2 linked regions of the Astyanax mexicanus genome follow. The protein of the gene in region 1 binds, or shares a complex with, the protein of each later gene. Links are inferred from orthologs where the notes say so. Each region holds a gene or a part of one and is shown on either strand. Other genes may lie near its edges.

The links.
Region 2: the proteins of rab3gap2 (region 1) and rab3gap1 are in contact, whole or in part, in a cryo-EM structure (PDB 8VYB), measured with the Homo sapiens proteins. The link is inferred for Astyanax mexicanus from reciprocal best matches to the Homo sapiens genes RAB3GAP2 and RAB3GAP1. Residues at the interface, in NP_036546.2 of Homo sapiens: Arg197, His198, Pro199, Gly200, Ser276, Pro277, Phe278, Asp279, Met281, Lys282, Ser285, Asn286, Ile287, Gly289, Phe290, Asn291, Ala292, Ile294, Arg377, Phe378, Gly379, Leu380, Pro381, Asp382, Arg385, Cys395, Thr397, Leu398, Arg407, Arg415; in NP_036365.1 of Homo sapiens: Thr19, Ser21, Trp23, Glu24, Glu142, Ser143, Asn146, Leu147, Leu149, Ser150, Ser153, Ile154, Ile169, His170, Trp173, Arg174, Met176, Arg187, Asp189, Glu191, Met192, Val193, His194, Leu195, Arg196, Pro199, Tyr202, Ile211, Ser214, Lys215.

The regions. Positions count from the first base shown.
Region 1 is NC_064421.1:42,289,908-42,306,558, reverse strand, and holds the start of rab3gap2 (rab3 GTPase-activating protein non-catalytic subunit), read left to right. Parts: upstream 1-8,826; 5' UTR 8,827-9,131; coding exon 9,132-9,249; intron 9,250-13,836; coding exon 13,837-13,913; intron 13,914-14,389; coding exon 14,390-14,501; intron 14,502-15,143; coding exon 15,144-15,225; intron 15,226-16,651. Other genes in the region: ppp1cb (serine/threonine-protein phosphatase PP1-beta catalytic subunit), read left to right, coding at 3-107. UniProt on the Homo sapiens protein: Regulatory subunit of the Rab3 GTPase-activating (Rab3GAP) complex composed of RAB3GAP1 and RAB3GAP2, which has GTPase-activating protein (GAP) activity towards various Rab3 subfamily members (RAB3A, RAB3B, RAB3C and RAB3D), RAB5A and RAB43, and guanine nucleotide exchange factor (GEF) activity towards RAB18.
Region 2 is NC_064418.1:15,187,491-15,204,187, reverse strand, and holds the start of rab3gap1 (rab3 GTPase-activating protein catalytic subunit), read left to right. Parts: upstream 1-9,940; 5' UTR 9,941-9,998; coding exon 9,999-10,016; intron 10,017-10,125; coding exon 10,126-10,181; intron 10,182-14,083; coding exon 14,084-14,159; intron 14,160-14,916; coding exon 14,917-15,049; intron 15,050-15,150; coding exon 15,151-15,229; intron 15,230-16,472; coding exon 16,473-16,592; intron 16,593-16,697. Other genes in the region: ubxn4 (UBX domain-containing protein 4), read right to left, coding at 65-197, 1,948-2,116, 4,124-4,242, 5,575-5,603, 5,695-5,797, 8,219-8,300. UniProt on the Homo sapiens protein: Catalytic subunit of the Rab3 GTPase-activating (Rab3GAP) complex composed of RAB3GAP1 and RAB3GAP2, which has GTPase-activating protein (GAP) activity towards various Rab3 subfamily members (RAB3A, RAB3B, RAB3C and RAB3D), RAB5A and RAB43, and guanine nucleotide exchange factor (GEF) activity towards RAB18.

The sequences.
Region 1 (16,651 bases):
AGATCCTGAAACCTTCAGAAAAGAAGGCAAAGTACCAGTACGGGGGCGTGAACTCGGGCCGTCCCGTCACTCCTCCCCGCACCACACAGGCCCCCAAGAAAAGGTGAGCGGCCTGCCCCACCCACCAGCGAGAAACCCACTCCACGACCAATACATCCCACCCGATGCTCTACAAGCCCCCAGGAAACGACACCCCTCTCTGGAGGAGTCTACCCCTCCCCCGTCTCTTTTCCTGTACTCTTTTCTTAATATTTGTGTACATACATTTTGCAGTGACCGGTTGATGATTATCTCTTTCATTATTTCTTTCTGCTTGTTTGAAGGTATTATTTTTATTAACATCAATAATAATAATAATAACAACATTGCTGATTATGGTAATGTGTTTGGGGTGGATTTTAAGTGTGTTTGCCAGTGCACATGCTGTCTCACGCCCTATGTTTCATTCTCTCTCTCTCTCTCTCTCTCTCTCTCTTTTTACTTCTTTCTCTCAAATTCAGTATTTTTCAGTAAGTTAGGGTGGATTTACATGGGAGGGTAATTTAAAGGAATATGCCTGCAGTTTTCAACCTGATGTCTGTCTGCTGCACCTGTTTCCACCCTTTTTTTCTGCACTTTAAAAAAAAAAAAAGATTAGAATACCTACACCAACTCTAAAACACATTTAAATCAGTCAGTGGCCATGAGCTCAATTCCTAAGTCTATGGCATAGCCAGCTCAATATTATTGGCCTACGTGGTTGTATGCATTTAAACGTTGTGTTTGTGTTTGCACCACTGCACCACTCTGCAATTATACCTCCAAAACAATAGTTTGTGTGAATATGATGCTCAGTGGGTCATAGTTGCTGTGGTCTGCATAGCTGTAAAGACTAGTTGCATTTCTAGGGAGGCATAAGTCAGGCTTTGGCGTAGGTTATGCAGTAAATTACTTGTTTACGTATTGGTTATGCATAGACTATGGCGTAGATTTGACGCAGAGGCATGATTTGAACTTTTACCCATTGGCTTCAGACTGCTAAAAGATAATAGATCTGCTGTCTATCTTATGATCTTATTTTTTAAGTAAATATCATCGGATGGACTGTTGTGGTCTTTTAGGGTGTACTCACACTAGGCAATCTGTGCCGTGCCCGGTCACAGTTAACTCCCAAAGCACGGCTCGATTAACTAGTGTGGTTGCTCTGAACCGTGCCCTGGTTGGTTCGCTTTAAGAGGCAGGCTAGGGCACGGTTCACTTGGACTTGAGCACAGTACGCATGCATTGTGAGCACGATTTGTGGGCAAGCACGGAATCAGATGACATTAGCGATGCAACATTCCTGTAAACAAACATGCAGATGGTGTTTTGCCAAATTCAGCACCACCGCCAGGAAAAGCGCACGATATGGCGTGACTAAAATAAATATGACTTTTGCCCTAAAAACAGATTGTCTCCGATTTTATCAAGAAAACGCGCTCCCGAGAGAGGGTGCTTTGCATGGTGGGGGGTGCTGAATTCAACACAACACCAGCAAGCCCACTGAGCAGTGAGTAATGTTGTGAGCGTGCTCAGGCATGGATTGTTTAAACGCAGTGTGAGTGCAGAACAGTGGGGGAGTGGGGAGGGATACAAACAAACCATGATTAGTGTGAGTACACCATTAGAAACAACTCAGACTTCAAATATTTGAATCTCAGCTTTTTTAGAAATAGAACTGTCAAGGGTCAAATAATAATATAATAATATTTGGCAGTTCTTTATTCTTCTTTATTCAGATATATTTTTATGTCTTCAGAGGTCCTTCTCATACCTTGATATACTGTTGTCTCACGCCTGTGGTTCGGCCTTTCTGTTCCTTTTTTCATTGATCTTCCCAACAAATCCCCAGAAGATCTTAATCTTAATGATGTTTCAGTTACATCAACTACTGATCGAAAACATCTGCTAAATACACATCTGGGTGCATCCTCTCAGCAGTTCTGTTAGACTGCCTGTGTTCTAGATACAGACAAACAGCCACCCTGCAGCAGGTGTAACAGATTGTAACAGACATTAGGCTGGAAAGTGCAGGATTGTGTGGGTTTGGCTGGTTTTTTATGTTTGCCTTGATCAGTCCTAAAGCAGTATCACCCCTCAAGAGTAAAGACACACATTCTTGGACTCACACACATACAATTGCTTCATGTCTCCAATTTTGTCTTAATACTTGCTCTGTCTCAAACAATGCACACAGGCCGCTCTAGAGTATGATGTAATGCAGCTTGATACAAAATAAAACCTGGATACATTCATTTGTCCTTGTAATCTATGTAAGTCCATGATTCATTTGGATGTGGGACTTCTATGAAACTCTGTGCAGGAGGAGCACATTAACTGCTGATCTTATTCTCGGAAACATGAGACTTATAAACACGCATATTAACAGTATTTAATAATTGCACATTTTCAACCTCAAATCTTTTTCCCAGTATTTTTCATTTCCAGATGTTTACATGTTTACAGCTTGTTTACCCTTCTCTCAAGAGCTCTGAGAAGCAGTCATGGTGTCTGTTTGGACGCCAGTGAAATTAAAACCGGATGCTTTATTAAAGCTGCTGTTTGGTGAATGTATTAGAGATAGGTGTTCCTGTGTAGACTTCAAAAAGTGATGTGAGGAAGGAAACGAACAGTGCACCAGAAGAACTTTACATATCTTTAGTCTGTCCCTCTTTTACTTTACTTTTTTTTTTTGTTATATATCCCCTTCTCTCTCTATCTCTCCCTCTCTCCATTACTCTTTTTTTTTTCTGCCCTTACTCGCAATACTGTTCTCTGCAGGACAGACGTGGTACAGTAACTGGCTGTGGATTAAATCTATTGTAATGGCACCCCCTGGTGTACACAGAAAAAATAATCATTATTAAAAAAAATAATAATTCCATTATTATTACTCACTTTATTATTACTTCACTGACCAGCAAAGTGGTCAGTGCTGATTGGAGGTACAGAAAAGACCCCCCCCCCCCCCCCCATAAAACCTCTAATCGTTCGCTTACATCAGTCAAAAACACATAACTGTTCTTTGTGTGTGCACATTGTTGCCTCATTAATATGTCGTAATTTCTTTTTTATTAATATTATCATTTTTAATGTGTTTGTTTTTATTTCCTTAATTTATATTTGGATGTTGGAGAAACTGAAAGTGTTACAAAAAGCAGCTTTGAGATTTGTATTAGTGGATATTTCAGGTTCTTTAAACTCAATAAATGGAAGAAAAAAAGTTTGTCTTGTCTGTGTATTATTTGTGTTTTTTCAGCTGAGAGCACAAACTCACAAACAGAAGACAACAGTGGGGAATTATCACAGAATTCTTTCCATGGTGAAGAAAAATACTTCACAACATCCACCCAAGTGAAGAACACTCCAGAAAGGAGGTTTTATCAGTATCTTACAATAAAAAGTCTACCATAAAAAGAAGACTTAATAAGAGCAAACACAGAGGGTACAAATCATTAACAGGAAGGCCAGATTAGACTTTACCAAAAAACACCTAAAGAAGCCAGACCAGTTCTTGGACATCGTTCTTCGGACAATCTAAAATTAACCTGTACCAAAATGATGGGAAGAAGAAAACTCGATACAAATCTCACCACATCCTCTGTAAAACATGGTGGTGGTAGTAAGATGGTATGGGCGTGCATGGCTTTCAGTGTCACTGGGTCACCAGTGTTTATTGAAGATGTGACAGAAGCAGAAGGATGAATTCTGAAGTGTACAGTATGGCTTCACATTAATGTCAAAAGTCGAGGGCGCAAAAATACAAGTGAAAAAAATTAACTAGCGAGTGTAAATTAACTTCTCGTGAGCCCAAATGTGAAACTAGCGAGCATAAAAAAAAGAATTGTGCGCGCGCTGAAGAAAATGTTGCTCTCGAGCTTCATTTTTCTCCTTTTGTGTGCTTTTTTCTCGTTTGTTTAATTTCAAATCCAGTGTGGTGGCATGCAGAGCCCAAATTATAAAGATTGTGTCACTCAATATCTAAATATGTATGGGTATAACTGTATACTCTGATTAATAAGAGTTCCTGTAATTTGTTTTTGAGCAGTATATAGATACATAGACAGACATAGAGAGAGTGATATGTAGTTGTGTTTAAATATAATAATAGTGTACTTGAAATGTATGCAGAATAACTAAAGTTTACTGTTTCTACTTATAGACTTATGCTATTTATAGTAAGACTACTTTTACTAAATGATGAACTTTTATGTGTTAAAATGTTACTTAAAACGTTTGTTTAGTGTAGGTGAAGAAACCTAAATAGCAAATGCGTGCAGCAATGACATATCTTGCTTTTGTTTTTACCAGTTTATATACACCTCCTCAAAATGAATGTGATGTTACATCTACAATTTAAGCACACTTTTATTGTTTTTAATGTTTAGTTGGATTCAGAGAGTCCTATTCTATTGGCAATACCGTTCTTCAGGGATTAGATAAGCTAACTGCATTTTCATATACAACAATGGCTGCAATTTAATAGTAGCTCAAGGCATGAATTAGATAGATAATAGAGATGCATGTTTTTGTGTTACAGTAAAAATATAAACACAGAACAACCATAACAGTAAAAGCCCTGTGCTAATATTGTGTAGGTCTGCCATTAATATTATGGCTAACTGTTCTGTATTTATATTCCACACTACAAGACCGTCACAGTTGTGTGACACGGTTTCCTTTCTGTAAAATCTGTGCTGATGGCGACACCTTGTGCACACAGTGCTTTATCACAATAAGACAAAAATGTTTACGCGGATACTATCTTATTATTATGAAATATTATACTAATAAATAATAAACAAATAATAATAAATATTATCAAATTATTTTGAGATCAATGAAGTCATTATTGTTTTATACTAAGTCATTATTTTGATAATATCTTATTACTCTGAGATTTAAGTCATTTTTGTGAAACTAAGTTAATATTTTCAGATACTATCTCATTATGTTGCAATGCTACGTAAATATTTTGGGATACTATCTCGTTATTTTGAGAAGCTAAGTCACTATTTTGGGATACTCATTATTTTGAGGTGAGCTAAATACAAACTTTTTCAACTCTAAATGGGGGATAAAGTTTTGTATCCATTGTAATTCTTCTAAATATCTTGTCTGTGTGTGTATAATTTACAGGAGAGTCAGAAAAAAATACAAAAGCCTGATAAAATTAATGCATAATCTGGATAAAATGTGAAGGCGAAAACTGAAAAAAGTTCCCATCAGCTGCTATACAGTCAAATTTTGACCTGAGGTGGGAAAATATATTTTTTCAAAGGCTTAAACAATCAACTATCAAAAAAACAAAAAACATTTTTAAGGTATTTGTCTCATGAAAAATATGATACAACAGTCACCCATATGTGTGACCTTAAAGGAGTACAAGCCTCAATTCACTTTTTGCCTTTACTAAAGAACCCCCCAAGAAAAACACATGGACAGAATTGTTGGTACCCCTCGGTTGCTAAAAAATAAAGGGAAAATCACAATGGTCACAGAAATAACCAAAAATACACAAATGAAATCCGACATTGATTTTGACCCTGGTTCAACAGAATTATTTTAAAAAGTAAACTCATTAAACAGGCCTACACAAAAATGATGGTACACCTGATAATGTGACCAAAGGGACAGCATCACAGGTGTCTACAGTCTTGTAATCAGTCAGTGGGTCTATATAAAGAGATTAAAGGTGAACTTCAAACTCAAGGAACATCAGTGTCAGATCGCACCATCCGTCTTTGTTTGAGCCAAAGTGGACTTAATGGGAGACGACCACCATTGTTGGAAAAAAAAAAACATAAATACCCAGACTGGAATTGGTCAAACTACATGTTGACAACCCTCAAAGCTTCTGGGAGGATGTCCTATAGATCACAGTCTCTACTGTGAAACATGTCGGAGGTTCTGTTATCTGTTATCTTTTAGTAACCAAGAGGTACCAACAAAGTCCATGTGTGTATAATGTAATATGTATAATTTCAAACCACAGACCTCCAGATGTTTTTCAGCTTTATTGCTTCTTTCAGCTCCTTTTAGGTCTTAAAAGGTCTTGTTTTTTTACTTGTCTCAGGATCCAGACTGGTCCGCCCTCACAGGCCTGTTATCTCTCCAGTGGGCCCAGGCCTGGTCCACAGCCTTCTTCACAGGTTCATTGTAGATCCAGTAGAGCAGGGCGAGTAGGATGCAGGGCAGGCCCAGGTGCAGCTCAGCCAGCACCCACAGCAGCAGCAGCCAAAGGACAGCCTGGAGGACGAGGAGAAGGGGCATGGTCCAGGGCGATGAATTCAGCCAGCTGACTGCTGTGTTGACCACCCTGCAGTTTCTCAGCTCTGTAGCTCTCTCAGACAACCAGAGGCCTAAAGCACTGTTTCTAAGCCAGGTCACCAACCTGCAGTTCAGTATGGCTGAAACCATCAGCTGGACACAAAAAAATATATATTTTTAGCCCAACATATTCTTAAAAAAACAATTAGTTGTAAACTTAAATGAAAAATTTTCCACTCTTTAAATGATCAATGAAAGCTGGGCATGGTTCAGGCTGTAAAACAGTTAGATGTATGTTTTCATTACCTGATGATTTTCCACAGGCTGAAGCTCAGAAGCTTTCTGGTCGTTTAAAGCATGTTTAGGTTTTCTCCTGTGAAAACGTCTTCTCCTTCTGGCCTGCATTATAATCAGATCCTCTACCTCCAAAGTCAGATATTCTGTGGAGTATACAGCAGCTAAGGCATGTGGTTTATGTTATGTGTGAAAAAAATAAGGGAAAATGATGAAAGAAAAGTAGTATTTGGTCAGAAACATCTGCAACGAAAGACCGTTTACAGACAGTTACTCTGATCAAGGATGACACTGTTTTGTTTTCAGCAAATAATTAATTAGTAATAGAACAAATAATTATTTTTTCTGGACTTTAATTCATAAAATTAAATAGTTAAAGTTTAGCAATAAATCACTTTAACAAATAAAATAACAAAAGAGTATTAAATTAGTGTTCAGCAGTTAACCACTTAAACAAATAAAGTGAAAAAAAGGATTAAATTAGTGTTCAGCAGTTAACCACTTAAACAAATAAAGTAAAATAACGTTAAATATTAAATTATTGTTCAGCAGTTAAAGGTTTACAGTTAAACTATAAAACTAGCTAACCTAGTTATGTTACCTTATGTTTTATGTCATGTCATGTTATGTTATGTTATGTTAACCTAAGTTACCAAATTAGTGGTTTGAATCCAGGGCCAAACAGACTGCAGAAATTAACAGTATTGTACAGAGTTTTTAAAAATAAACAAACACTTTTAATAAATAAATATCAAAATATAAATAAATATAATTAATATACAAATAATAAAACAATCAAAAAACTAATCCTAGCCCTTATTATAGTGTTAAACCTAGGTTAAACCAGGTCTAAATAATTGTTAATTGTTAGTTAGCACTGTTAGCTAACTAGCTGTTTTGTTAGCTAGCGTTAACTAGCTAATATGTAGGGACTAAAGTGTACTGCCTAAATCATCTAAAAAATATAGTTATAAATGAGTTAAATGTTTAATAGTAGGTTTAGTCTAATAAATTATAATATTAAGTCTAATAAATCTAAAATTACTCTGAACGCAGCAGAATTATGACGCTACCTGTTAGCTGCTAGCTACGTTAGCTAGTAGAGGTGCGTAGTCCAGGTCCAGAAAGTGGAAACAACTAGAACAAAATCCCTGGAATGTCCTCAAAGCTAAATGTGGTCTTTGGAATTTAAAGTATAAAACATATTCTGGTTTGTTTAACACTTTTTTTTTATCACAAAATAAGTCAGCATGTGTTTCTCTGTAGCTTTAATATAGTCTTTATTATTAAATTTACAATGTAAAAAAAAAAAAAAGATTAAATAAGAAGAGTTTCCCAATTTTAAACTGGTACTGTAATGTTTTTTTTATTATTAGTAATTCATTTTACACATATTTTTAAAATAAATTAATTTAACCCTCTGTTAATTTGTCAGGAACAGCTATGGTGTTCCTGGGCCAATTTGGGGTAAGAGGACTGCACAGCATCCTGACACCGCTCTCCCCTCCCTTCAGGACAAATACAGCTCCAGCTTCACAAGAAAAGCCCTCTGCCTGGCAGGAGACCCCATCCACTAACTACACAGCTTCTTCAGCCTGCTGCCATCAGGGAGGAGTCCGGGGCTAGGACCAGCAGACTGAGGGACAGCTCCATCCATCAGGCTGTGAGGATGCTCAACTCTTTCCCTGCTCTACCCCCATCCCCATCCTGCCCCTCAGCATCCTGAGTTAGTACTGGAATCAACACAGTACTGTAAGTTAGTACTGGAATCAGCACACTACTGAAACTTAGTACTGTAATCAACATAGTACTGAAACTTAGTACTGTAATCAGCACAGTACTGGAACTTAGTACTGTAATCATCACAGTATTGGAACTTAGTACTGTAATCAACACAGTACTGACACCTAGTACTGTAATCAACACAGTACTGTAACTTAGTGCTGTAATTAAAACTTAACTGGGGAAAAATGGAAACTGATAGTTTAAGTATTAAGTTTTAACTTTGAAAAATACAAAATTGCCTCACGCATATTTGGTGTACATTATTATCTCTCATTCTTTTAGATCTATATTTTTATCTTGCTGTACTTGCTGTAATTTTGGAAAAGAGAGTTACGTAATTGAAATCCTCTGCAGGTACTGTACACATTCAATATTGACAATAAACCACTTGACTTGGCTTGACTGCTGTACAGCATGTAGAGCATCCAGGCCAGCAGGGGGCGCGGTGCTGCCGTTAGCGGAGCCCGAGCTTCCTCCACAGCTGAGGATGTGTCACTCTCAGCCCGAGAGCAAAACAACAGTTTGGACCGAATTTCTCTCTGATTTTACCCACATTTATTCATTTTTCTAACATTTGAAAACCGCCTGCACCTTGTAGGTAACACATAAACGGGTTTATAATTTTAGGCGAGCATTTAGAGCCGCAGAAACACTGTATTTTACTGTATTTGCTGCGTTTTTTGGCGCTCCTGCTGCTGCTGCTCCTTAATGCCCCAGCCCGGGGCAGATTAGCCACAGGCTGAGCTTTGCCTCGCCGTGTAAGGATGTCCTGCTGTCTGCAGGACTTCTGTCGGGTCCAGGAGCTCCGGCAGGTCCGGGAGTTCCTCTTCCCCAGCCAGAAGCCAGCTGCTGCGGGGCCGGCGGAGAGCAAAGACCCAGCAGGTGAGTGGAGGACAGGAGGCTCCTGGTTCCTTGGTTGTCTTGTTTTCTGGTTTTCATTTTAGTAACTGAACTTAATTTTTAGTTTTATTTTATCTTATAAGTGTTGAAAATATTGTAAAAGGTAAGGAGTAGTTGTTAAAATAAAGAGCATGTGCAAAAAAGAGTTCAGAAAAGGGAGGAAGAACACACTTTGACCCAAAGCCCCCCAAACAGCTGCAAGCTTTCGTTAGCTGAAGCTAGCTGTTGTTAACAGTTAACTAGGTTAGTGTAGAAAAATCTGTCTTAGCTTTTTGTGTTGCATGTTCGTTGATCCAAGGATTCAGACGACACGGAGATTGAGAGTGAACAAGTATGATTTATTTCAGATCTGGGAAGAACATTTCAGATCTGGGAAGAACATTACAGGCATGTCGCCCCGAGTTCTTCTGAACCTCGGCATTTCTGACTCCATCCTTTATACCCTTTTGTGACGAACCTAGTTGCTAGGTGGCTTCTCATTTTTATGCTTATCTTTCCAAATATGGTATACTTCAGTTTTCCAGACTTTCTTTAGGAACCCGAAAGCTGTCTTGACCTTTGCTTCTGAGAAATCGTAGGTGGTCAACTTCCCTTGCCAAGGTGACAAGGGAGAATCAATTTCCCCTTTGCGACATGTCTTAAGGTCAACAAGGCACGGTTCCTCTCAATTCATACTCTCTTTTATTGATAATAATTTTACTACATCTACAGTAAGATTAATTAGTTAGTATATCTTTAACAAAGCTTGAAGCTGCATGTATAATTTTGTAGACGCAATCTTCTAATGCAAGGTTACACAATGTACTTCATTCACTGGTTTCTATACGGCTCTCCCCTGGTTGACCTGTCCCTAGAGTGTAGGAGTAAAAGAGGAACTCTTCCTAGAGCCCAGGAGTAAAAGAGGAACTCTTTTAGTCTGCTAGCCTCTGTAACCTCAAGATGTTTACCAGTAAAACGAGGAAGCGTGCTTTCTCGGTTGGGCCATTCAAATGTCATTGCTGATTTTATGAATCAAATAATAACTGTGTGTACGTGTGGTTTAGTGACTAACTCTTGATTCAGTGATTAATGATTAGTAGAATATAGATTTATAGCTTTCATAGATCTATTTGTGTAATATGTGTTTTAATCATAGTTTAAGAAATCATAGGTTAAGATTTTGGCTATCATGATTATTGTAAGCTAATCTTGTTATTTTATAATCTTCCACATTAGCTAGCATGATTTTTCTATTTTATTTTTTTTAACTCATAGTACTAACACATATATGATAGCTAAGCTAGTTTAGTAGCCTGGATTAAAGCTGCACAAAGAAAAGGCCTACAAAAACACGAAAATAGAAAAGCAGTAGCCAAAATAAAAGGTGCTTGTTTGAATGTTCCATTCCACCTTAAATCCTACAGTAGTTCTTACCAGAATCCTACTAGCGCCAGACTGTTAACTTACTTCTTCAGTATTTAAGGTGGCATTGAAAGTTCCAAGCTTTAGCTTTTATAAAACATCAGTAAACAATATTGTGACAGTAAATATACACGTTCCTGATGATTGCCAGTCCTGCATGACTCTGATATAGTTCTGATGAGCTTCAGAGCTAAAAGAAACAACATGACCATCCATCATCTCTACTGGACTGGGCTTAGATTAAGCCTAATCCTGGTCTCAGTTGCTGTGCCATCCAGTATTGAGAAAAGGCCTTTGTAAAGAAAATCATCCCAATATCAGTAAAAGTGGCTGCTTGCTTAGTCATGCTAGGTTTAGCAGCTACTGGGATTGTTGGGATTATAGGATTGGTTCCCCAGTCCTGGATTTTAGAAGTATTGCATATCCTAGTATTTTCTCTGCTGTAACACACCCTCTTAGCCCTAATGTTGATTAGCTGGAGATACAGCACTGGAAGAAATTAAGAGACCACTTCAGTTTCTGAATCAGTTTCTCTGATTTTGCTATTTATAGTTATATGTTTGAGTAAAATTACCATTTTTGTGTTATTCTATAAACTACGGACAACATTTCTTCCAAATTCCAAATAAAAATATTGTCATGTAGAGCATTTATTTGCAGAAAATGATAAATGGTTGAAATGACAAAAAAGATGCAAAGCTTTCAGACCTCAAACAATGCAAAGAAAACAAGTTCATATGCATAAAGTTTTAAGACCTCAGAAATCAATATTTGGTGGATTAACCCTGGTTTTAATCACAGTTTTCATGCATCTTGGCATGTTCTCCTCCACCAGTCTTACACACTGCTTTTGAATAACTTTATGCCATTCCTGTTGTAAAAATTCAAGCAGTTCATTTTTAAGTGGTCTCTTATTTTTTTCCAGAGCTGTTTGTGGGGTCTGTTGCTAGTAAGTAATGGATGCTTATTGGTAGGGGTGTGCCAAATCATGTTGTATCATATTTAACAATATTGAGTTAGTATTTTATACTCATATGAGCCACCAGGGTACAGCCTTTTTCCAATTAACATCCGGAGCACTGACTTAGTGGTATGATTGCTTTGGCCTCAACCATTACTCTAATACTTTATGGTCCAGAACTGCCTCTTTTGTGTATCATGGTCTAATTATTTAATAATTAGGGGAAAAAGCAAAATCGACATTCTAATAAAAATGGTTCTGGCTGTCATAATTATACTGAAACCCTTTTTAGTGCTATATATAACTATTTACATAAGGTGCAATCTAGAGACACCTTTATAAGTAACTTCAGATGCTTTACTTCAAGATTAAGAAAAAAAGAAAACATTGATAACGCTCCATAAAAGTAGAATAGCCATATTACACTGATTACCTCTAAAACAAGGGTCTTTTAACATAAGATGAAAGCAAGAAGAATTTGACTGTGTAGACAGAACAGAAGGGTTCATGATCTAAGGCAATACCTTGTCATCTGTCACACATGGTGGAGGCAGTGGCATGCCATGGGCATTAAAATAATTTGTGTTTATTGATAGATTGGTTACTGATATAAGCAGAAAGTATCAGAAAGTATCTACAAGCACTACTTTCCTTTGATCTTCTGTGAAATGATGCAGAATGAATATACTTCACTGTACATCTGGTTAAAGCAACTCAAGTGCTTCTTTAGCTTTAGTGTCTATTGATCTCATCATTATATAGATTATTGATGAAATTGACCCCATGCCAGAAGACTGTGGAGTAGGAATAGAACGGTTCAGAATCAATATTAATGAAGCAATATTACATTGTCAAACTGTCAAACATGGTGGAGGAAGTGTCATGGCTGGTAGAATGGGTTGTAGCACGCTGAATTCCTTGAAAGTGTTAGACATCCATGTTTAGCTTAGAAATAATGATATGCTGGTTTTTCATGGATGGGATAAAGCAAACCAAGAGCTGCCCAAGATAAAGTAGGTCAGGCCAGCCAGGTCAGCTGAGCATGTTTCTTTACTTACTGAACACAAAAGTAAAGGAGGTAAGCAACTGAATGTGGCTGCAGTAAAAATCTTGCAAAACATCTCAGGAGACGAAACTCAGTATTAAGTGATGTCCATGGGTTCCACCGTTTAGCTGCCCTACAGTGACAGAGCAAGCGAGAGAGAGAGGGATGGAGGAAGGGAGGGAGCGAGAGAGCACTGTGTTTGCCCTTTACTGAATGAGTCATCCTGAACGACTAGAATATATTACACAGTGGTAGAGGAAGAGAACGATTGAACGATTAAAGAAGAAAAGGCCTTCTGCACAACCTGCTTTGGTTATTCTCTGTCCAATTCATTCATAAAATGATTCTGAATCATATAGAATGACTCCTAATGAATCAAACCCTGAGAGTCCCTGGGGTTCTGAATCATTTCTCAAAGGAGCAAATTTATCTGAATTGTTGTGAGGTTGGTTATTTACAGCGCTCACATGAACAAACTGACGTCACAGTCAGTGCTGCTGCACACACACACACACACACACACACACACACACACACACACACACACCTGCAGAGGATGATGCAGACTGACAGTCAGACAGTGAGATTCACTCTGACAGAATGAGCAGCTCTTCTGGAACAGAGAACAGCTTTCAGCCCCAGAGAAAAGACTGCAAGGACATGGACACACACACACACACACACACACACACACATACACACACACACACACACACACACACACACACACACACACACACACACACACACACACACACATGCACATCACTTTTATGAAGGTGCCTGTGCTTCCACACTGCCATATTTAACACATCTCTCTTTGTGGTTCTATCTCTCCCTCTTCTTTTTCTCTCACTCTGTCACATTCACTATTCACACTTTCCCTTTTCCTCTCTCTTTCTTCTCTTTGTCCTTTTTCCTCTTTCACTCCTTTTCCTGTTCTTAATCTCCTTGTTCTTCTTTCTCGCTTTCTGTATTTCTGTTTCTTTCTCCCCTCTTTTCTCTCCCTTTTCACTTATTTCTGCTCCTTCTCTCTATGCTTTTACGACTGTTCTTTTTCTTCTGTATTTTTCCTCTGTCTCCTTCCTGCTGTCCCTTCTTTTCCTCTCTTCCTCCCTTCACCCCTCTCTCTCTCTCTCTCTCTCTCTCTCTCCCTCCGTAGAGAATGAGTTGACGTGGGATGACTCAGACTGGGGATCGTGGGAGACGTCAGCAGAGAATAAAGAAGATGGAGAGACGGTCTGTCCTCAGTTTTAATCTGTCTGTTCCCCTGTTTTACCCTCAGATCCACAGTGTCACCAAAGCATCACTGCATTATTTTAGCTCAGATTATTTATAAGTATACACACATGCACACAAGAGCTGATTATTTTATTATTACTGTTTATTTTTGATTTAGGGATTGGCAGTATAACTGCAGATTTTGGGTTACACAGTGCCTCATGGATATCGTTAGTGCTTAAAGAACTGTTTAATTGAATGTAGTGCAGCACACTTTGAATGCAAATTATTATATTTAGTATGGGAGAGTATTTGAATAGCAATTTGTTTTTGAAGAATCTGCCAGTACTAATGCATTTTGTCAGCAATCACATCTATCTTCATAAATATTGTGTATTATGAAGACTGAAATAAATGTAATAATACTTTCTATTGTCCTACGGTTGCATCACAATACTCTCTGTATGTGGTTCTCTCTCTCTCTCTCTCTGCAGGCTGAAGAAGAGGTACAGCATGGGCCGTGGCTGCAGGACTGTGTTCTCTCTATCTCTCCGTGCTCAGACCTCATGGTCATCGCTCGAGAACATAAGGCTGCATTTCTCTCTGGTATTCACATATGCATATATATATATATATATATATATATATAATATATATATATATATATATATATATATATATATATAATATATATATATATATAGGTATAAGTATATGTAGCCTCACGTTGGCTTTATTTCCCCCTAGACATACAAGTATATACCGGTATTTTAATAGACTTACATTACTACCTAATAGGCTTACATTTATTCCTTTATTTCCAGTTATACAGCCACTATAAATACTTCTTAAGAATATTTATGAATATAACTTCTATAAAATCTTAAGAAGAACTAGTGCGATTAAACGCAGTTAATCACAGAATACTGTTGTGATAAATCTGATTACATTGTTTTATTCTGTTGACACCACTAAATGTGTCATAATTCATGAAGAGTGAATTAATAGAAATGTTCCAACATGACTTGAACTAAAATCTTAATACGTTGACTTCTATTAATTTTTTTTCTCCAGTAAAGTTGACAATTTAATGATACTAAGTATATATGTTACAGGAGTGAAATACTGTAGATTTATATTTATATATTTATGAAACTATTTATTTATATAAATAGCTACATACCTACACACACCTGCTGCTGACTGTTCCCATACTGCTGACTGATTGAATGCTGTATTGATTTGTAGCTAAATGGCAGAATGATGACTCTGGGAGGGAGGAGATGACCCTGGCAGTGTCCTGGAGTGGTATGCTGAACGCTGAAGAGGGGTAAGAATGGAACTTATAGCCAGAACTAAGAGGAATAAAGCTATTAAATACATATTTTTGAGTTCATTTGTGATTTAGAACATTAAATACCCAGTAAAGGGTAGTGCTGGGCGATATAACGATATCGATTTGTTTCGCGATAATTTTTCCCTCGATGACGATGATAAGCCTGTGCAATAGAATTCGATAAACATTCATTTCCATTTCCGTCTAAGTGGCGCGGCAAACAACGAAAACACAACGTGTAATCAATCCAGAAGACGCTGGAGCAAATTAATAAATAGTTAAGAAAATTGTAATAGTTATTCTCATGCATGCAACAAAAAACCCTAAAGAATAGTGGAGTATGGCCCGACACACGCAAACAACCATAGTGTTTGGACTTTGGGAATAAACGGCCGCACTGTTCAGCACGTTTTAAATAAATTTTAAGTAAATTTTAAGCACTAAATGTAATTAATTCAATTTATATTAGGACCTCGGGGCAGGTGCTGCAAAAATGTGTATGTGGGGCGCGGATTAAAGGAAGAGGTTTTTTTGCGGAGCGGTAACAGGACAAAAACACCTTAAGAATGATGTCTAAATGACTTTCCTCTAATCTAATATAATTTAACATGGTTTAAGGATATAAAATAATTTCTAAACAAACGAACTTTTTAATATTGAGCTTATGGCCCAAGTGCAAAAACACAAAATCATTTATCATTTAGATTATCTGCCTGAACGCGAGCCCGAACCCGAGCTTGAACGCCAGCCTGACTCAGGCGCTGCATGAACTCGGGCCGGTCGAGAACACCGCTTTCCTCTCAGATTAGGCGGAAGAAAATGGTCTTTTTTTTAATGTAACAAATCACACTGTGATTTTTGTGATATTTCCCCAATTACAGCTCAGCTGCGCGTTTAAAGCTCAACGCATGAATTAATCGGTGCGCTGTGCGCCGCGCGTGCTCGCGGGGGATTTGACGCGTCTGTCAAGCAAGTTAATGGACCGTTTTGGGGGCAGAGATTAAGAAGTACAGCAGGTACATCTCAGATTTGTAGTTTAATGCTCTACTAAATTACTGGCTTTAAAACTGGCTCATGATATGGTCGGTTCTGGCTGGATTTTTTCCTGCCTACAGGCTGCATTTGACGGAAAGCAGCTCCTCAGTCAGACAACAGTGTCAGCATACAAATCGTGTGCGTTTCCTACAGGACAAACCATTTAAAAGTGCAGATAAACTCATTAAAAAATCACACAGTGTCTGTCTGGCTTAAAATACTTTTAATAAGGTACAGCTTTTAAATTAATAAATCAACATTCATTAAAAATCCGTGAGAAGTTCTGTATGCTAAATGACAAGCTAAGCTAATAAGCTAATAACATTTAATAATAACAGAAAAATAGATATGAATTTGGAAAATAACCAACTAAAGTGAGCTCAAA
Region 2 (16,697 bases), on another chromosome or scaffold:
AATCAGCTCTCCCTCCTGCCCTGCCTCTAAACCCATACATCACCCATTGCCCATTCCAAGCTACCTTTCCACCTTGGAGTCCAAGGCTTCCTCTGCTTGTGAGGCCTGTGACGTGTCATCTGATGACAGGCTTCTGTCGTCCCCTGGAGTCGCGTGACCTGAAGCCCCTCCTTCCTCCACAGGCATGGAAAGAGATTCTAGAACGACAAATAAAAAAGGGAAAAACTAAATCAGCGTGATTTAGTAGATTGGCAGATCTTGATTCAATGTGTGCCGAGATCTTCTAAGCAATGTTCACAGGTGTCTTAAATGAACTGAAATTGAGACTTGAAACATGCAAAGTATGGAAATTTGCATGCTGCATCCTGTTCAGTCCATAGATTTAAACTGTTGAAAGTTTTATAAGTCTGTCTGTATTGCAAATCAGAAGATCTTAGCTTATTTCTTTACAATGATACTTTGTTTCTACTTGTTACTGTATTGATTGTGCTGTGGGTTTAAAAAAAACTTACTTAAATGTTCTGATATCAATTCATAGAAACCAGAAATCAATCAGGAGTTCAAAGACATGCCATGGTTTTATAGAGAATCTAACATTAGAGAGAAGTTTTATTGTCACTCAAAGTTATTAAAGCCTCCTGGAGCAGTTAAACAAGATGCATCTCATTTTTAGTAATTAGTTTGTGCTCTCTATGCCAAACATTTATAAAATAATATATTCAAAAGTCTTTTCTGACATTGTCAGTTGTGTGGAAGTGTGTGAAACTCATATTAAAGTGTATGTTTACACTTCTGTACACTGTTGTGTTAGACACATTAATAACAAAGAGTTTTGAATTTATTCTTCATGTAAACACGAATATTTGTGATAATAGTAAGTTAGTTACTCTTAGAACTCTGAAAATTTGTTTTATATCCGACTAAAACTTGAAATTGTAACAAATGTTCCTAAATTAATTCATTAATATTAAATCAAATTATGACCTTGTAAGTAAATTAGTGGTGATACCCAGCTCTAGCATATATGTTCACCTGCATGTAATTTGGAGTTTTTGCAGTAAAAAGTAGTGATGCCCAAAATATATGGCAAGCAAACATGTTAAAAATTTAAAAACAAGTTTGGCTCAGTAAGAAATAAGTCCTGAATACAGTAAGTTAGTCAGAATAATTATATTTTGATGATGCAATCATTAACACAGCCAGCCAGGATATTCAAGAGATGTTCAGAGTACCAATTAATATTTTTAAATTGAGGTTTTGTAATGACATTTTCTCTGAAAATTAGGACAAAATGCACTTTACCTACTTAAGTGGCAAAGGTTTATGAAAACCTGCAAAAAATGGTATTTGGTTTTAGTTTCTGCCAAAAAATTAAACTTTGGTGTGTAGTTAAAATTAGTATTGCCCAAAAAAAAGAAAACATTTATGAAACCTAAAAGTGTACTATGTAAAATCACTGCTGAGGCAATTTATCAGCCACCAGTCCATCCGTGAAATGGGACCACCACAAGACCACCAAAGGACCAGATATAGTGTTGCTTAAAGGTTTGTGAACCCCTCAGAATTCCAGCATAAAAACCTTATCCCATCTGTGAAACATGGTGGTGGAAGTATCAAGGAATGGGTAAGGACACCCTTACATACTTGATGGAACCATGAATTCTAAATCATATCAGAGAATTTTAAAGGAAAATGTCAGGACATCTGCCCTGAACTGAATCTCTAGAGAAGGTGGATCATGCAACAAGACAATGACCCCAAAAGATCTACTTTTAGCACTTCTGATGAGGTTTTAGGTCATATTTATGCAGAAATATATACAACTCTATAGGGTTCACAAACTTTTAAGCACCACTGAACAATGCGCACTCTCAGCACAGCAATAAGGCACAGTAAGTGAACACTAGATTCAGGTAAATCTTCCAGCAGCTGGAATGCATCTCTCACCTTTAGAAGCAGCAGCAGTGGGGGGATTCTCCGCTGAGATGGATGACCTGTTCACTGAATGGGCTTGAGGAGCTGGGGGCGGGGTCTTCGGGGCTGCAGCGGAACTCTCCGGCTGCATTTCTGTCACTGCGTTGGCCTGTTCCACGCCGCTCGTCTGCTGAGAGTGCATCTGTATAGCACAGCATAAGAAAAAACAGTCATTACACCTGAGTCATCTGCTATTATAATAACATTCATCATCTGGAGCACAGATGCTCTGAACATCCTATAGACGTTCCAATGATACAATGTTCCAATAAAACTGAACAACACATCAGCAGGATTTCTAAAAATCTATAAGAAAAGTATAAGAAAAAACAGATTTCGGGCATTTTCACATCTAAAAGTCTGCACTGAAGTTTTTATCTTTGTCACATTGTATAGTGTACATTTGGTACAGATAGTTTTGGCTTCAGACTGCAGTTTAGGGATCGCACTAAACAACTTAAAGGAAAACATCCTGTTGTCATCAGCTACGTAGACGGAGTCTCTCTATACTTTATATTAATAGGTTTGTAGAATGTTCAGCTTCGCCAGGTGTTGTGAGAATTCTAGCTCTCGGTCAGAATCTGACTACCCTTCCATGTCACGCACTCCCCTACAGAAGAATGAGTGTAAAAAATAATCTATCTTCAGATTTATTTTATTTATTTTTATAAATAAGAGTTAATCTACTGTTTACTGTTTCAGTAAATAAATGAATTCCAGTCTAAGTCTATGTGTTCATACTGCTGCTTGAGGCACCTACACGGCAAGAGAAGTCAGATGTCAGCACAACACCAGTTTTTTTTTTTTCCTCTGGTTTGTTTAAACACTGCCTCAACTTCTTGTAATTGAAATCTAAACACACCATTTAGTAAAGTGCTTTCACACTGCATATGAACCGGACCATGGTTCAGTAGATCCGGACCGAGACTACTTCATTTGGTCAATTTAAACTCTGGTCTTTTGTTCCGGACTGTGGCACACAGCCCCTTTCACTTTGGTTCAGACCCAAACAGGTGAAAGCACATTGTTATATTATATAGAAAAGAAGGTTATGTCCTGATCCAGTTTCTTTTTCACCAATCCAACCTGAGTATTAGCCAACACTGATCCTATTATCTTTATGTTTGTAACAAATAATAACAAAAGTAAATAAGCTAATAATAAATGCATAAAATGCATCAATATATGAAATAAATGTTTTTTATTTATTAAACGCTGTATATAATATGCTGTGCCAGACTTTAAACTATACATCCAAAAGTTTGTGGATCCCCCTTCTAATAAATGCATTCAGCTACTTTAAGTTACACCCATGTGTAACTGAACACACACAGCTTGTCTTGTTTATTTTAACCAGCTATAACTCAAGATTAAGGACATGGCAAGAATATACTTCCACACTCGACAGACAGACAGACAGACAGACAGACAGATAGATAGATAAAGCTTTTTTGCAGCATGGTCAAAAACTACTAAAAACTAAAACTGACTTACACACAAAGTACAAGCTATTGAAAACCCAAAAATCAGTGTCTCAGAAAATTAGAATATTATATAAAGACCAACTGGTACTTTTGACAGTGTGCCAAGTCCTGCTGTTGACCAACACCAGCAGATGACATGACTCTTTAAACCATCACTGAACATCAGTTAATTTTGCATTTCATTTGTAAATTAGGGGAGCAGAATCTGGAGGAAGAGTGGAGAGACACACAGTCCAAACTGCTTGAGGTCTAGTGTGAAGTTTCCACCAATCAGTGATGGTTTGGTCTTATATAATATTTGCATTTTCTGAGAAACAGATTTTTGGGTTTTCATTGGCTGTAAACATTTAAAATAGATCCCTCTGTGTGTAATACATCTATGTCATATAAGAGTTTCATATTTGAACTATAATTACTGAAATAAAGTAACTTTTTTTAATGATATTCTAACATTTTACATTGTGAGCCTACATTACACTATAGGGCGCTCTGCTAGAATGCACAGCATTAAAAACAAAGAAACAGAACAGCACGAAGCTTGGAATATCGCATCATTCAAATCTATTATGCTTGTACGGCCCCTAATTCCCATGCACTATTTTAGGCTTGTGGTTTCTCACTGAAAAAGAAGGAAACTGTTTTTCTGGCTGTAGCCTTTGGTTTACCTGTCTGACTTTGTTTATCCTCTTCTTAAGCTCCTCTGCAGAAACACCGCCAGCAATGACCTCCAGCGGAATACCATTCTCACCTATGAAAAAACTGGATGGAATGCACACCACTGGATCTGCAGGGTACCGGCATTAAGGAACAATAAACAGGCTTAAAATGAAGAACTCTGACTTTCTCTTTCACTTACTCAGACCCAGTCCAATATTTACACTTAAAAAAAAACTGTTGGAGAACCTTATTTAGGTAACAATACTGCCTCCCCTGTGGAAGACTAGGGTTCAGTTCATTGGCTGGACTAATAAGAGTCCTTGAGCAAAATTCCTAACCATACATTCCTCCATTTGTTTAACATCAAATATGAATGTGAAAAGATTCTTCCATTCATTTAATGTTCATTTAATCCACATTCTTTGAATAGGTTGAAATACTGACATCTGAAATCTGTTTTAGAAAATTAAGTGTAATGGGATGGAGTGCTACAGACTAGAAGCTCTCCAGCCCGGAGGGATGTTGAACCCAATTGCAGAACAGTTGATCTCAAAGAACATAAATCCTAGAAGAAAGGAAAAAAATAAATAAATAGCACACCGCTCCTCACGCGGGAGCGAACCCATGTCTTTAGGCTCCCAGTCCAATACACTAACGCTGCCTCGGCTAGAGAATTGGGACACCGGGGGAAAAAACGGGGGGAAAAAACGGCCTTATAAGAAGATAGAGAGCTCAAAAAAGGGCGGGAAAAAAACGAGAACAGGCGGAAACTAAAGTCATGCCGAGTGCACCGGAGAGACAGAGAAGAAATGTGAACAAAAGCTCACCAGAGAAGCATTTTATTGATTTTTTTTCCAATATCAATCATTATAGTTTACTGCCGACCCCCTAGTTGCAATCCATGCATTTACTGAAACATAAGTAATTTAGACCTCACCCCAATTACAGTAGAAAGGTACTGCTTGATTACTCCATGTAGTGGCACTAAATCAAATGAACAGGGCAAACCTGCAGTGCAGATTATTGGTTGCAAAATTCTGTGAAACTGACACCAATAAATCCATGAATGTAGGTATTTTCTTATTCAGGAGCATTTTATCCTCTTCAAGAACTCAGAGCCCATTAAGTATCGTACAAAATTGTATTGTGATATATTGAGTATCATTGAATTACAGTATAGAATATCATCATTATAGCAAGCAACGTATTGTGATAATACTGTATCATGGGATGCCCTGTGATTCCCACCCCTAGCAATAATACAGGATTTTACTCAAATATAACTTTCCTGCACGCTTCACCAGAGAAACAGAGTGCAGTTAGCAGCATGCCAAGCCCAAAGTACCAACAGTGGTGGTGGTCTTCTCCCTATAACAGTCAAAGGAGGATTACATTGATTAAAAAATGCTAAGGAATTCTGCTTTGAAAGCTTCAAATAAGGGCTCTTTACAAAGGATACATATCTGTGAGAACTGGACACACGTCTCGCTGAAAAACAAACAGAGAATTCATTTCATAAACAACAAGTCATTAGTCATTTTCACGTCATTAGAGCAATATTCTCCGATCAGTTCCTCACCTTTTGGCGTCTACTTTAATTGCAACACAGCAGTTGTCTGTGAGCTCTGCTACCTGCTCATCTTCCCAACTGAACAGCATCTGCTTGGACTGCTCATCATCTCCTAGATATGTTTAAATGAGAAAATATCTATAAAAACAGCATCATCAAGATGATTTAACAAAACAAGGTGCCAACTTTTTAGAGATAAACATTTAAGTCCCAATCATTTCAGTTCATCAGACCTGATTTTGCAAGAGTCAGCTGTGCATGTCCATCTGATGCCCCAGCAAGCTAAACAGACTAACCCAGCTTGCGAAATCAGTTATGATGTAATTTAAACGCTTAAAAAGTCTGTAAACACATGCTCATCCAAAGCTTCTCCTGATAGTTGAAACCAAGGGTATTAAAAGGAAAAAGCTTGCCACAGCTGTAGAGCTTCTGCTTTTCAGGGAAGGCTTTAAAATAACTGCTGGAACATTGCAGCAAGAAAACTGGATTCAAAACTGGATAACATATTAATCACATTCTCTGGTATTACTTGTTGCCAGTTGTTGCCATAATAGAATTATCTTGTTCTCAGACCATACCAAGTTTGGCTGTAACATTAAATATCTCATTACATATAATGAATGGGCTGCAACAACTAATCGATTAAACAGATTAAAATAAGTTGTTGGCAACTACTTTAATAATCGTTTAGTTGGGTCTATGTTATTTTAAGTACAGTTGCTACTCCCTAATGTGGGGCAGTAAGCCAACCAAAGCCGAGGCAGTAAAGCAACATTAGACTGGATGCATGTTGGAGCCACAGGTGAAAAAGATTCACGGTAAGTTTGTAGTGAGTTAATTCTATTTTTTCTCTCACTTAATGTTTTTAGAGCCTGCTAGAGCAGTTCAACAAGAAGTCTAAACAAGAAGTCTAATTTAGCATTTTTCCTTCCACCTTAAATGTGGCACCACAACCAGCAGTTCCAAAACAAATCACAGTTTTAGTCAAGCTAATCTTAGCAACAAGTATTTTTAACAACAATTTTTTCACTCACTCAATGTAACTACAGCCTGCTAGAGTGCTTAAACAAGACTTTCTCATTTCAGTTTTAGTAAATGTATCTCTCATTTGCATTGACAGGGTTTTCAAAACATTTTAATAATACATTTAAAGACTTTTTCAAGTTTTATGACTGTCATAGCATGTACATGTTCAAATATAAATATATATTTCCTTTTCCTTGTATTCTAATTATTCTTATAATTCTTATTATTTTATTCTTTTTATCTGATTAATAATCGATTCATGGAAAAACAGTCAAAAGATTAATCTTATTAATAAGTTAATACATTTTTGCTATACGGCACTCAGGCTATACCAAGTTATTGCCATAATGCAAATAACCCATTAGGCCACACCAAGCTGTATCTATTAATGTATCTTTTTCTCAGGCCAATATCACTTACCTCATGCTCAGAATTAAGTTTTAGAAACATAAACAATCTAAATGTCAGAATTATGTTTTAAATATATAAAAAAATAAAAATTTCAGGATTTCATTGTGAATTTAGCAATTCTCCTTCTCAGAATTGTTTTAAATACATAAAAAATCAAAATCTCAGTATTGCATTGTAAATATAGCAATTCTCCTTCTCAGGATTAGGTGTTGGGTATACAGTTGCATCTCAAAACGTTAGAATATAATTAAAATTTTACTTGATGTCATAATTCAGTTTAATATATTTTGGTACTTTTGGCAGTGTGGCAAGTGTGCCAAGTACTGCTGGAAAATGAAAGCTGTATTTCCATAAAAGTTGTCAGCAGAGGGGAAAAATAAAGTGCTGTAAGATTTAACTGAAAAACACTGCACTGACTTTTGACTTGATATAACACAGTGGACCAACACCAGCAGATAACATGGCTCTCAAGAGCATTTTTTGAGACACATCTGTATAGTACACTCATTCTCAGTATTAAATTATGGATACAACAATTTTTTTTTTCTCAGGATTAAAAAAAAATACTTTAAAGTCTCAGTGCTTCGTTTTAAATGCAGCTTTGAGTTTGTTAATAGTGTAAAAATAGAGATTTTTCTGCGTGTGCAATGCTATGCCCCTATCACTAGCATTGTAAGCCTGATGGAAGCATTGTGTTCGTTAACTGAATGATTTAAAGGAAAATCATGAAAATGGTTTATGCTGAAGAATTCTCTTAACACACAGAGAAAACTGTGAACAACAGCTAAACTAGTTAGCTAGCTGGCTGGTTAGCTTGTGTTTCAGGATGACAGCAGGCTAAACAGATCAGCCAGGCAGAAAGCTATTCTCAGCGCTAGCTGCTTTACTGTTAGTCATGTAGCTGTAAACACTAATAATGTAGTTTGTGGGTATCTCGAATGGTTAAAAACCCATTCGGTCAGTGTTTAATGTCGCTCCGTATGTCCCTCTCCGCTGCTGAGGGCTGCTGTGTTGTGTAAGCTGGATTCTCCGGGTTTCGGCAGGCCTGACTCAGGGAAGCTAACACCGAGGTACGGCGCCGTTCCTGCTCGTTTACCTGTGATCACCACCACGAACACGGAGCTCCGCTGCTTGGAGGAGGCGATGGCCGCTGGGATCGAGCCCTCAAACCAGCGCATGATGTCTGGATGGTCTGTTCTGGTCACTTTTCTGTGGGTCACTTCTGTAATCGCATCGATGCTGTCAGACTAGCCAGAACCTTCAGAATCATCACGGAAGTGACGATGGGGCACGGGGCAAAGCATGCTGGGAGTTGCAGTCTTTAGAATAATTCAGTCTGTAGAAGAGAGTTGTTTTTGTTCCCAGTTACTCAACATCACTGACAGTTGTGGAATATTTAGTAGTAAGTAGTGAAATTTCACCACTGGACCCCCATTATTTCACTAATGTTTGTAGAAGCAGTCTCTCTGTATACCAAGCTGCTTGGTTTTATACACCTGTGGCCATATAAATGATTGGAACCTGAATTAAATTATTTGGATCGTTGAGCGAATATTTTTGGCCATGTAATGTGGGTGATGCATGGGCTAGATGGGTTTAGGTGGGTGTGGACTGTACATGTGTTTTCAGTGGCCTTCAGTTGGGCTAAGCAAAAAATACCTTAGGTTAATCTTACATTGGTCCTATCCAGGGACATTTCAAGTCAGATAAAATCTCCTGGAATCTAGAACAAGTGGCTAGAGTGAACATAAACGTGCACACAGGCAACAGAGCCTTTTTTCCCCAATCATGTGTAAAAAAGAGGGGGAGAGGGAGAGAAAGGCACTCCCCTCGTGTGCATGTTCATGAAGCGCATGCAAAACAGAGAGGGTTCTGATTGGCATGTTTTCTCTGCAAAGAGTCTGAGTTATCCAATCAGTTTTTGGTGTGGGCAGGCAGGGTTTTTATTTTATTTATGTCCTGGAAGAGATGCATTCAATGAGTAACAGAAAGAGCATCATGGCTCCCATCAAAACTCATTTCACGTCTGACTACTGTAAAGTATATCCATGTCTGGTAAAATAAAAATAAAAAAAAGTGAAAGTTTGCCCGCTGAACAGTTAGTTACTGGGGACTGAATGATTGTGAAAGGCACGTTGAAGTGAGTTAATATATACCTAAAAAAAAAAAAAAAAAAAAAAAAAAAAAAAAAAAAATATATATATATATATATATATATATATATATATATATATATATATATATATATACAATACATAATAATATACAAATATTTTTATAATTTATAACAGTAATTTGCTGAATTATCTTTGATTTATCTTTTTGGTTTTAAGTATATTTGATATATGTTTCTGTGTTGATGATATTTTTAGTGTCTGATATAGAGCAGTTTCTAAAACCCCATTATTAAAAGTATGAACTACTTAACCTAAGCTTCAATCCTCTTTAGTATTAATCCACATTAAAAATGTGAATGTTTCTTTGTTCTTTTAGAGGATTTGAACTCTGATTCTGAGAGCATGTCACTGCCTGTGTGGAACCAGCAATTTCAGTCACTTATAACAACTAGGTGGAACAGTTTTACCAGCATTTCAGGACTATATTAACAAAGCGATAAAGAACTCAACAACAAACACTAACAATTGCTGTTTTAAAGACTGTAGAGTTGATCATTTTCTTAGCCATAACCATCAACAATAAAGGTAATACTCGCTTAGAACAGATGTCTCTGTGTGTAATACATATATAATGTATGAGATTCACATTTTTGAACTGAATAAATAAAGTATATTTATCTCTCTGGACAGGTGATCTCTGGAATACATTTCCCACAGTGCACTGCGGGGTGGGAAAAAAAATAATAAACAGAGACCGTCATGGCGGCGGACAGTGATGTGAGTCTGGGTTGATCAGAGCTGATATATAAACTCAGAGTTAAGGGTTATATTATTACCGGGTTTTTTAACGGGAGTATAACCGCGCTGTGTGTGTTTTTATTTACAGCCCGAGTCGGAGGTGTTCGAGATCACCGACTTCACCACCGCGTCCGAGTGGGAGAGGTAAGTAACGATCAGCTGATGATCCTGCAGCTCGGGTTCGGGTTGAGTTATGGGTCAGACAGCTCTCAGACTGAGCTCCACCTGATACCTGACCCAGCAGAACCCAGAGAGAGAGCCTGATAAACAGTGTGAGCTCTGTTCTGCAGGAACACGCTGTTTAGAATCAGAACTCTGCTGCTGCAGATACTGGAGCTCTGCGGCCTCTGACAGACCCTGCAGACACACAGACAGGCTAACCTAGCTTAGCTAGCTTAACTCTCCAGCTTTTACTAATTTATTTTACAGGATAAATGACACTTTTAGATTGCATGTGTTAAGTTAAGGTCTTTAGTTTGTTTTAATGTGTAGTTTCGTACGCAAAAATGCAGTTTTGAGGCATTTTGAAGCGTTATTAGCTAACCTAGCTAGAAAAATTGCACTGGCTAGTTTTGAGTAGTCAGCAGTGACTTGTGATGACGTGTGTAGGGGTTTGGGATGCTAAAAGTTTATATTTCTTATTTATTTATTTATTGAATTGTGTTAATTTAGGGTTTTAACAGGGTTAATATTGCTACTTTGATAGGGTTAATATTGCAGTGTTTCTTTAACATACTGTAAACAACAAATTACTTTAACCACCCATATAAGCTCATTATATTGATGTCCTAATCCTGTTATTGTTTTATTTGGTAATTGCTGTGCTGTTATGAGTGCTGTTATGCCAATTATACACTAGACAACTTCGAAAATGTAACATTTAACAGACTAAACTATGACAATTTCTCGCATTTAAAGACAAGTCACAGACTTTTTACTTGCAGACCAGTCACAAGCTAAGATTTTGCAAAGACTCTGAAACTTGCAGGTTCACTGTTTTCAAGACTGCAACTAAAAACATCAACTATCTTGTGGTGTGTTTTTTCTAATTATGTGAGCATGTGTTTATTTGAAGTTTTTTCTGTTGATGTGGTTTGTAAAAGGTTGTGGGTTTACTAGCTTGTAGGTAGCATAGCAAGTGGTAAGGAAACATTGGTTCTTGGTCATAAATAACCATGGTTTCCGAGCCATCGCCAGAGCCTTATGCATGTCCAGTAACCGTAAACATTCTCGCGGTTGCCTTATGGCTTCCTGTAGCTCTCCTATTGGGTGTTGACATTGTTCTCATCACTATTTGAATGAACCAGGTCTCAAGACGTACTATAATATTAAAAATGGTTGATTTAACCTGAACGCCAGGAGGAGAAAAAGAGTTACTTAAACCATCATTCCTAACCACCTTACACTGAACGATCGAGATGACGCGACCGCAACTCAGCTCTAGCAAGACTCTCATGATTTTATCCAAACACTGGAAATGTATCTGCGACAGTATATTCGTTTGAAAATTGTTTGGTATAAGGTTGGCAGTAGCGGTAAGACTCTCAAAGGCTAATTGTAGGTAGTGTTCCTCTTGGTGAGAGATTGTTGACTGTTAGACCAGCCTTTATAGTGCACTTGAAGGTATTTTGTAAATGATTTCAGGTGTAGTCAGTTTAAACACTGAGCTATGCTGTCCTACAGCCCATCAACAGTCTATTTTCATGCCTTACATCTGTGTTGTTTAAGTAGCAACAAAGTTTGTGAATATATCTACACTGATGGGTATGATGGTCTTAAAGTGAGGTGTGTTCAGGTACATTTCTGGCTTATTACTATGTTGGTAGTGGAAAACAAAGGTGCTCCACTGACTAATTAGAAACTAGTCAGATGTCAACCATCAGATGTTCATCGTCATCTTGGCAACATTGCTGTTCCCATAAGTGACCTGCTCTCGCACCTTCACAGCACAAACAAGCTGGTAAATTTTCTTTGCTGAGAACTGCAGAAGAGCAGTGTCATTAAAATAGCTATCCGCCAAAGTCAGAGCCTACCTTGCTCTTAAAGAGAATGGCAAGTGTCCTGCTGATTGGTGTGTTTCAAAATGCACAAGATGTACTTTTCCCGTCATTACGATAGCAAAGGCACACTTACACTCCCTAAAGCAAGCTGAAAATTGCTAAAATAGCATCCTGTTTTTTTTGCCACAGACAGAAGGGTGATAAGGTGCTGCTCTATATAAAGACTCTTATAGATCAATTTTGGCCAGTGTTCCTCTTGGTGAAAGATCGTTGTGTGTTTTGCCCAGTTGACAGACTTTTAAAACTGAATAATTTTTAACTAGATGTGAGCAGAAGTGAATGGTCCAACATTTGGTTTTTATTTTACACATATTGGGGTTTCGAAGACTGAAATTAGATTATCTTAGGTGGATTTGATCAACAGGTGTCTCAGGAATATCCCCATCAGATTGCAACATTTGTTTGACCTTTCAGGTCACCAGTTTTTTTTTTTTTTTTTTGGGGGGGGAGGAATAATGGGACCAGCTATGACAGAAGCTGTGGCAACTCATGTAACCCAGTTATATTGTTGCTATTACTTAAAAAAAATCTACCATTTCTTAAATGATAATTTAACAGAATAACCTTTCAGTGTATGGAATTTGTGTGTGACAGTAATTGTATGTTATAGGATTTAGAGCAAATTCATATATTCTAATATATCCCAGACATTTAAAATCGAAATATTGCCATTTACATTGATTCCATATTGGTATGATTTAATGTGTTGTGTGAATCATTTATTGGGTGCTGTTTGGGTCCATGAAATTAGATTTGATTTTAGGAATACAGACACTTGTATGAGTCTGTATGTTTAGAACAAAGACTAAATATTCAAATTCTGTCCTGTTCAAACAAGCGGAAGCAAGGTAGCAGAAGATCACATGTCCATGTGGTGAACATGAGGACTTTTGATATTGCTTAAATAATTAGCTTTGGGTTTTACAGCTCAACACCCTGGCAGTAATCCAGGTGTGGGTTTGATTGCACTGTTTGTTCAATGGAGGACTGACTGTGTATGTACACAGGCTGTCAAGACTAAAGACGCTGTCTGTTTACATATCACTGTTGTCTCTCAGTGTTTGTAGCCTGAACACAGGAAGGATATGAAAATGATGGTCAGACCCCAAAATAAACCAATGGCTAGAAACCATAAAGGTTTTAAATTACGGCAAGATAAAATCAGTGCGACTTGGTTATACAAAACTGTGCAGATGTTTTAGTCAATTCTTTCATCAGTAAATGATTGTACTGTAAAAACCCCAGTTTTAATTAGAACAGATGAAGTTACACATAAATACAGTAAAAATGACAAGAATTTAATTTTAAAGCGAAGTAGATGAGTTCTTGAGAACAAGTCTGAAGAACAAAGGTTGATCCTGGATTTCTCTAGGATGCCCCAAACAGCAGATGTGTTCATTTGTATTACCGGCTCACCTTATATGCCTTTCTTAAGCTCTGATTAACTGAACCTGGTATTGATATGAGAACTATAAATAATACTGTACTTCATTGAAGATGTTTTAATAAACATAATAATGAAGCAGTGTTCTCTGCTGACAACCTTTATGGAGATGCAGATTTCATTTTCCAGCAGGACTTGGCACACTACCCACACTGCCAAAAGTACAAATTGGTCTTATATAATATTCAAATTTTCTGAGACACTGATTTTTGGGTTTTCATTGGCTGTAAAAAAAAAACAAAAAAAAAACGCTTAAAATAGATTACTTTGTGTTGCATATATATTTTTATATATAGTTTCACATTTTGGACTGATTTACCGAAATACAGGAACTTTTTAATGAAATTACAATTTTTGAATTTTTTATTTTCTTGAAATATTTCTCAGTGTTTTTTTTTTTGTTTTTTTTTTGTTCATATTGCCAAGAACATAGGTATCGGAAAAATATTCTGCAGTATTGTGATATTATTTAAGGGAAGTATCGCACTCTAGGGCAGATATCTCACTATGCTCAGTTAACCTTTGGTGTTTGATGTTCATAGGTTTGTGTCCAGAGTTGAGGAAGTTCTGAATGACTGGAAACTGATTGGCAGCAATGTTGGCAGACCACCAGAGAAGGTAAATTGTCCCCCATTTAATTTCATTTCTTTACATTACATTACATTACATTACATTTGGCAGACGCTTTTGTCCAAAGCGACTTACAATAGTCAAGTACAATGTAAAATAAGTTTACAGGTAAAAACATCTTTGGATAGGGATAAAAGGAGGTCAAAGGGAATAATAGGATAGAGGAGTGAAGCAGGGGAAGAAGGAAATGAGGTTAGAAGTAGTTAGTGTGTTAGAGGTGTTAAGAGAGTAAGTGCTCTTTGAAGAGCTCTGTCTTCAGGAGTTTCTTAAAGATAGCGAGAGATTCTCCTGATCTGGTAGTGGAAGGTAGTTTGTTCCACCATTGGGGAACTCTGTATGAGAACAGTCTGGATTGCTTTTTGTGAATGTTTGGCAAAGCGAGGCGACGTTCATTGGAGGAGCTCAGCGGCCGGGAGGTAGCGTAAGCCTTCAGGAGTGAGTGCAGGTAGGAAGGAGCCTGTTCTGTCATCACCTTGTAGGCGATAGTAAGAGCTTTGAATTTGATGCGAGCATCAACTGGTAGCCAATGGAGCTCAATGAGCAGCGGGGTGACATGTGCCCGTTTTGGCTGGTTGAAGACCAGACGTGCTGCTGCGTTCTGGATCATCTGGACATTTTACTTTACATTTATTTATTTGTTAAATGCCTTTAATGAACAGAAAAAACAACCTGGAATGGTATTCTAATAAATCAATTATTTTTATTTATTTCGATTTTCTGTCTGCTTCTACTCTCTCTGGTATAGGGTGAATACACCACTGGCACATGGGAGGAGAAGTCTAAAGAGATCAACTTTGCTGATTTTAAGTTCTCCGTAACGCACCACTATCTGAAGCAGGATTCAGTGGAGAGCGAGGGGAAGGAGGATGAGGAAGAAGGTATGGCCCGGATGTTATCAGATCACTGTGGGGAGAGATACTGGGCAGATATCTGCTGCTTTGACTCTTCTGCTCTAATGTCACAACCTGTTCTTCTACAGATGCCTTCCCTCTGGCCATGCAGGACCTGCTGTGTATGAACAACGACTTCCCACCCAGGGCTCACTGCCTCGTCAGATGGTTCGTACAACTGCACAGAACCACTAATAGAGCTATATTGGCTAGAACACTGCAGGGTTACCATGGTTATGGTATGCTTCCAATCGAAGTAAATGGAAAGTACACTTTTTTATCTAATCAGAACAGTGGGATCTAATGACATGATCTAATAGGCAGAGTTTAAACACAACACTAAATGAACTGCTGTCTGACACCAATCTTTACATGCAAACTTATAGTTAAAAATTGATAATGTGTTCTTGCGAATGGATATAGTATTGCAAAACGTTATATTGTGATATGCTGATATATTGTTATTTATTTACACCACTAACTACTTTATATTTTTTATAACTAGCTTTATATCAGATGTGTACACTTTAAAAAATAGTATTGCCAAACGGGCTCTTTAAAGAGCAACTAAATCCTAAACCATATTTTTTTCCATGTATAGCTGAAATGTGTTTCTTACAAGTAATGGAACGCACTCCGGCTTAAACATTTCCTAAACATAAAAAAAAAACTTTTTATTGTGGTAATTTCCGTTTCTGCAGCTCCCAGGTTCAACTGTGCTATTGTCGTGGATGGTGTGTCACAATATGCAAATCTGTGTAGCAGTAATGTAGTGTAATAGTAGCAGCCAAACCCCTTTCCTTTTTTTTTTTTTATATAGCCTTTGCTGCATGTTGGCAAAATACCTATTGAGCCATCCACTACTTTCTTCCAAGCTTTATTTTTCTTTAAATTCCCAATTGCCCTGTATTTTGTCAAAAAGGCTTCATATAAAACAAAAAAAGCAGAAACAGAGGTCAGAATCTTCTTTGCCTCTGAGACCTTGCACTTTTCTACCATCGGTGCGAGGATTGGGTTTAGGTCTAAAGATATATATTGGCCAGTCCATCACCTTTATCTTTAGCTTCCTCAGCAAAGCAGTTTTATTTTGGATGTGTGCTTGGGGTTGATCTCATGTTAAAAAAACTGCCATGCGGCCCAGTCTCTGTAGGCAGGGGATTGTGCTCTACTTCAGAATGTCCCAGTACATGTGGGAATTTAACTCCCCATTGCTGGCAGTACTCAGGCTGCCCCAGAACATGATGCTACCACCACCATGCTTGACTGCAGACAAGAAACAGATTTCTTGGTACTCCTTACCGGGATGCTGCTACACATGCTTGACACCATCTGACCATCTCTCGGTCTTGACAGGTGTGTTTGTATAGTACAGTGCAGATCTTAGAGCATATCCTTTTTGATTTTCTTGTAGGTATGGAGTTCGTGAGTTTGTGGTTATATCTCCTGGGACGAACTGTGAAGCCATCATCAGCGAGTCCAAGTGCAGCCTGCTCCTCAGTTCTGTCTCCATCGCCCTGGCCAACACTGGCTGGTAAGTAATGGATGATTTTATTAGTAACATTAGCCCATTACCATTCCGCCTATTGTGCCCCTACAACTTCTTAAAATCTTAAAATATTTATTATTTTAAATCTTA